Macaca fascicularis: one gene and its partner. The protein of the gene in region 2 purifies or fractionates together with the protein of the main gene of each other region. This does not show direct contact. Links are inferred from orthologs where the notes say so. Each region holds a gene or a part of one and is shown on either strand. Other genes may lie near its edges.

Region 1 (3,013 bases), on a different chromosome or scaffold from region 2:
CAAATTTGCAGCACACGGCTTTTCCTAGGGAAACCATGTGTAAGCCTGGATTACTTGTGCCCTATGTAATCCTGATTACTCCAGAGCTATTGTTACTCTCTCCCTAAGAACATAGGGACTCTTAACATTGTAGCAAGAGTAAACAAGCTTGGTGGCTAACCAGACATGGGGTCCAGTCTTGGGCCTATCACTTACAAGTTGTTTAACCTTGGACAAGGCATGCACATTTCTGGGTTTATTTCCTAATCTGTATTAGGAACGTAAGTCAGGTCACCTACAGTTGTTGTAACGATTCAGTGTGAGCTATTGCATCCAGATTGGACAGCATATGCCCCGATATGATGAAAGGGAGATTCCGTGTCTTAAATTAGTAGCAGTGGCTCACCCTGAAAGAGCAAATGCCTGGAAGAAGATGTGAGCTTCTGCTTGGTGTGTGGTGATCACAAAGCACAGGTGGCAAAAAAAAAAAAAAAAAAAAAAAAAAAATCATCATTTTCCAGACTCTAACATTTTAGTTAAATACGCACAATTTTATTGATTGAAGAGATTAGGACAAAAACATTAAACCAAATACAGGACAAAGCACCAGAGGCCATAGATCCCCACCATGCATGTCACCAATCTCTCCTCCTCCAAGGTACTTAAAAAATAGGGGAGAGGGAAGAAAAAAACGTCCTTCTTGACACAGCACCATCTTCAGAATGTTAAAAAAAAAAAAACCTTCTCTCCTTTATATCTTCCATTAGCAAAATAGAATCAAGGGCAAATCCATGGCCGCCTTGTCTCCTGGTTACGAAGGGTGAAGCCGCCCTCCTGGGAACGTGAGGACAGGGCTCCTGCTGCGCAGGCATAAAGCATCCAAGAGGCCGCACATACATGCCACACACTATAATGAAGCACAGATTCAAGTAACATTTACATACTAGAGTCCACGTGTCACCTACCCGAAAACAGGACCATTTCACAAAACATATACAGGCAGTCAAATCCAAACAAGTGAGGTACTGGGAACACAAATATTTATGCCAAAAGAGTTCTGTATCATACAGCAATAGAAAAGCCATAATAAAAAACATTTTGCCACTCGAAATCAAATAAAGCTATCTAGAAAAGCCAAGTAAAAGGTTATTTCAGAGACAGAAATACTCAAACAAGGAAAAAAAATCGTAAATGTTAACTACAGCATGTAATATGTCATCCCAAGTCAACCCGTAATTGAAGTACTGGCTTAATACATCACAATGTGACATTTTCCTTAATAAATAGAAGAGTTCTTGAAAATACAAAGGTGCGTATTGGGATAGAGAGCTGTTTTTATTTATATCATCATAGCTTCCAGCTAATTATCCTTCCCGCTCGTCTCTACTGGGGTTTTTTGTCCAAACCAGAGGGCCTTACAAGCCAAAAGGATCATTCTCCGTAAAGAAAACGAAATAGCTGCCCTGTATTTTATACACGTGGGACAACCTGCTTTGTTTCACTAGCTTCTAATAAAACAAAGACAAATGTTTAGTTGCGATCAGAGTGCTGCAAAAGCGTCAGACTCCAGGAGCTTGCTAAAATCTCAGGCCATTGCTATCACCTCAGCAAAGAGGAATGCCTGTCACACAAACCCTCATCGTTCAAAAGCAAAACATGAAAAAGGAGTTGGATTTCTCTTTTCCTTTCTTCTTCCCTTTTCTTTCCCCCTTTAAACTAAGATAGCAGTAATGCATCTGGACGTTTGACTTCTAATAGCTTCCTGCCACGAACCAATTGACACAAAACAGAATAGCTTGTTAAAGGACAGATTTTTTTTCCCCTTCAGGGAGCAAAGCATTAACATGTCATTTCCTGACCAGGATATTAAATAGTTTATTTAGAAGAAATGAGTTGAAGTGAGCGATTAAGAGACACAAACTGGACTTTTGTTTTCTTTTAGTGTAGCACCCAGGTTTCATGTCAGTCTGTGTGCACCGAATTTTTTTTTTTTAAGTGAACCTCATTAATTACCAGCTAGGTGGTTGGCTTGTTTCAAAGAAAAACAAATTCTTGGCCAACTGTTCCTTCCCTGAATCCTAACAAGAAGTTAAATGCTAACAGTGCGATGCCAGGATGTGTGTTTGAGGCAGAGAGTTTTCATTCTGTGAGGATCTGCAACTATTTTGGAACAAAATGAAAAGTGGGGTAGGCGGAAGTGACCCAAGTGGCAAGGGGTGGTCTCCCAGGCTATGTTAGGGAAGACAAGCTCCGGGGGGCTCCCATCCATCTCACCCCAACCCCCATCCCACGCCTCTTGCCCCCTTGCTACATGGTCAGTCAGCTCCTTGAAGGTTATCCTTCTCTGAACCAAGAAACTTAAGAGTGTGAATGTCTTTTTTGCTACTCAGCCAGGCAATTCGTGTCCCCTGGAAGAACTCCTTTCCGCTGCCCTCGCTCACTCCTGGTACCTGCTAAGTCTCTGTGGGGCATGAGCTCAGTTAAAGAAAGGGTCCAAGTTCTCTTCCATGTTGACGTCCGGCACCAACTGGTCAGACACTTCCTTAGCACCATATCCTGAATTCGAGACGCTAAAATCTGTAGAAAACCAAGGATGGTCCAGAATTTCCTGCGAGGTCAGCCGCTCCGAGGGCTCCCGCCGCAGAATGCTTCGGATGAGGCACTTGGCCTTGGGTGACAGAGTCTCTGGAATGTTGAACTGGCCACGCCGGATCTTGCTGAAGAGGGAGCTGGGTTCAATGTCATGGAAAGGGTACCGCCCCACCAACATGGTGTACAGCATCACCCCCAGGCTCCACACGTCGGCTGCTTTGCCCGAGTAGCTGCCGCTGGTGTTCAAGATCTCTGGGCTTACGTAAGCCGGGCAGCCATGCTTGTCGGAGAGGGAATCATCGTCTCCCCGCAGAATGTAGGCGTCTTCCAGGCTTTCCAGCTTGACCCGAGTCCTGCAAGAAAGGAGGAAAACATAAGCTCCTGAGGGTGCTCGGAGACACATTACCACCAGCATCATAACATACCCGACTATAGTGTTTCC
Region 2 (3,522 bases):
ACTGCTTCACAATGGTGAATCAACGTGTTTAGCATTTCACCTGTATTTACATCCCACACTCTGGAAGCGACAGATGAGATTTAGATGGTACTCAAGCTACAGTCTGTTACCTATATTTGACCATCATGCACCCTTCCACCCCTTATATTTAGAGAGAGTGCCGGACCGGGAGAGTGGGAGAAGAAAGGGAATGGGATGCTGCCAGTGTGTCCTTAAGACATACTGCTTGAAATATGGGCAAGTTGTGGAGGGCAAGGATGAGGTGGCAGCCACTGTCACCTAATAATTTGGCCCAGACTGTAAAACTTCTGACATTCAATTGGATACCATTAGTAAGATACATTTTAAATGGGGAATCTGAATAATAACAGTAGCATTAGTGCCCATCCCAATGATAGCCCTCAGGAGCCAGAAATGACATAGGCTAAGATGCTTCTGTCACATACTTAGTAATGTGAATTTGAGTTTGATTACCCTGGATCTCAGGTTTTATCATAAAGGTCAAAGGCCAAGATAATCATGACTCTAATTCTAAGCCCCCATTTCTGTGTTTTGAAGTAGGCAGGGGTTTAAAACAGCCCCTGCATTGTAAATATGGGCTTCACAGCAGAGTGTGGGGTCCTGGGATAGCTTGAGAATTTTGTGTGATGATATATTTTGATTATTCTATTTTTGTTTATTTACTTTGGGTTTTATAACATGTTATTTCCTTTTTCCAGTTTAGCCCCCTTTTATAGAAAATCATCTTTTCTTTATAAATGATGTTAGCATCTACAGTGTTTCAGATTCTGTGGGGCACTCGCTCCACAAGCACCAATAAATGTTAAATGTCAGTAACTACAAGGACAAGTTTGCTATGCTTTTAAGTCAAAAGACAAAAAACAGGAACAGTCTTTTCTATTCACAGAGGATAACTTGGAATGGTAAACATTTAACTTCAGAGTATCTAACAATGCAGTTAACTGCTTTTTTCCTACGTCTATTTTTTTTAAAGTTACTTTTGATGCATTATGTTTGCTAAATCCTTTAGCTTAAGGCAAAATTCCTAACAGAGGTTCCCAGCAGTGCTGCTGGTACCCAGAACTCAAGCTATCCCAGACTCCAGCAGTATAATGGCTGTGTCATCAAATCACTAATGCCTCTGGAAATTGAGGGCCCCTCCCTGAGTGAAGCTCGCAATTAAAAACTGCAGGGATGGCAGGGGAGGGGCTGGCAAAGAGAGCACAGCTCACCTGTACATGTTTCAAAGGAGATAATACAGACCTGCACTACAGTTACAACTACCTGAAAGGAAGGCTTCATTGCATTCATGTCATTCCCTTGTGAGATGGCTTTTGTAAGGAATGCAAAGTTTACCATAAGGATAAGAAAAGTTTCTGTAATAGATGATCCTCCAAATTAATATAGAACGTGTAGTTTCTTAAATGTGTGAAAATGTAAACTTACCTCAAGCATTCCTAAATCAAGTTTTCTAGTTCTAGACTGACAGAAATGATGGGGACCTGGTGGTTTATTCTTCTTTAGTTTCAGAACTGTGCCGATACATACAAAATTACTATCTATGACAAAGAACAGAGTAGAGCTGATGTTTCAGAGTTCAAAAGAGCATATGAAATTTTCTACCTGACCGTGGAATCCGATGATCCAGTTATGATCACTCTCTCATCATACTGGAGACAGAGGACAGAACCCGTATGGCCTGTGAGAATTCGCTTGCATTCCAATGTGTTTTTATCCCAGATCTAGGATGGCAAATAAGATCCTTTTGATCAATGTGATGATGGGGTGCTGTGGAGACTTGTTGGTCTTATTATGTGTTTGATCCCCCAAATAATCAAAGCCCAGAGTAGTGTGGAAAGCATTCTTCCCTATGGGTATAGCTAAGCACACACCCACCCACCCACATATATATATATATATATATATATATATATATATATATATATATAGCTTCAGTACTATGCAAACTTTTATCCTTTTCATTAAGGAACAAGGTAGTTTATAATTATGTGAGGGCCAAAAGAGTAATAGCCCATTCAGTGCATTTCAAGAAGAGAATTTAACCCTAGGACTACCCATTTGTATAATATTCTGGGGGGAAGCAGATGTCTGTCCTTTAAGGAAATGATTTTGGCTTTGGAACTGGAAACAATCTAAAATCTTCACTTACTTTCTAGAAATAATGCTTAGAGTTTATGCTTTGGACTGTGCTAAGAATGTAGTCAGCCTCGCTCCCTCCGCTACCTTCCTACAACTGAACAGACCTCACCTTGATTGTGTTGTCTCGAAGGCCGCTTACTATTTTCTGATCATCATACTGTAAACAGTAAACTCCTTTGCTTGTTTCACTTCGGCAGTGAATTCTCTGTAAACTATGTCTTCCACATCTCCAGTTAGATTCTATTGTCTGAGAAGAAGGAATGGGAAAATGGCAGTGTTAGGAAACGCCTAGAATCAAACTCTTTTTGGGCTTTAATGACAAGCAAAGGCTCGATGCTTTACTCTATGGGATATACACAACTTAGGGAAAACTTAAAAATGTCTTTAAAAGGCTACTATCTACATTTATAAAATATTTTCCCTTTTGCAAAGTAATTAAAGTTTGTTTCCTAGAACTCCCCTGCCTATAATTTGTTCAATTAAATAATAAATCTAGTGGGAAGAGACTACTCATCAAGAGGAGAAAAGCTACAAACTATGTGAGGTTATACACTCAGTGCTCTTACATATGTGATGGCCATTGCTACTGATGAACTTCTATGGAGGTTCAATTCAGAAGATATTTGAGGACAAGTTTACCATTCACACTGCTATTGTATGAAGGGATCAATCTCTTTATCTCTCTCATCTATGTAATAGTAAACAATTTTTTAAAGCTTTAAAATTTTGCCTAGCAATTTATTTTACCTACCCTACTTGCCTGTAAAGAGACTGATTTTCTTTTCTTTTTCTTTTTTTTTTTTTTTGATGGAGTCTCACTCTGTCGTTCAGGCTGGAGTGCAGTGGCACGATCTCGGCTCACTGCAACACGTGCCTCCCAGGTTCAAGCAATTCTCCTACCTCAGGCTCCTGAGTAGCTGGAATTACAGGCGTGTGCCACCATGCCTGGCTAATTTTTATATTTTTAGTAGAGAAAGGGGTCTCACCATGTTAGCCAGGCTGGTCTCAAACTCCTGACCTCAGCCTCCAAAAGTGCTGGGATTACAGGCGTGAGCCACCACAGCCAGCTAAGAGATTGACTTGCAACTCATGTCAATAAACCTTAATGGGCTTGCTGTAACCATATTGTGACTGAAGAATGCTGATAATTCTGTGCCACTGGGCAAATACCCCAAAATACATAGATTCTTACCTCAATGTCTTGTATAATTTTAGGATAAAGTGCTCTATAAAAAGAGTTGGGAGGAGCATTCCCGTCAGGAGGTTTGTTTTTGAATAAATACTGTCCCCTAAAAAAATAACAAATATTTCCCAATGAAAATCATGACATTATATATTTATATACATATATATTTTGAGACA

The links.
Region 1: the proteins of BTRC (region 2) and TRIB2 purify together in Homo sapiens (affinity purification with western blotting; 3 studies listed by BioGRID and IntAct, with this or other methods). This does not show direct contact. The link is inferred for Macaca fascicularis from reciprocal best matches to the Homo sapiens genes BTRC and TRIB2.

What each region holds. Positions count from the first base shown.
Region 1 is NC_088387.1:109,388,239-109,391,251, forward strand, and holds the end of TRIB2 (tribbles homolog 2), read right to left. Parts: intron 2,925-3,013; coding exon 2,456-2,924; 3' UTR 510-2,455; downstream 1-509.
Region 2 is NC_088383.1:110,502,502-110,506,023, reverse strand, and holds part of BTRC (F-box/WD repeat-containing protein 1A), read right to left. Parts: intron 3,450-3,522; coding exon 3,353-3,449; intron 2,408-3,352; coding exon 2,270-2,407; intron 1,743-2,269; coding exon 1,624-1,742; intron 61-1,623; coding exon 1-60. UniProt on the Homo sapiens protein: Substrate recognition component of a SCF (SKP1-CUL1-F-box protein) E3 ubiquitin-protein ligase complex which mediates the ubiquitination and subsequent proteasomal degradation of target proteins. Recognizes and binds to phosphorylated target proteins.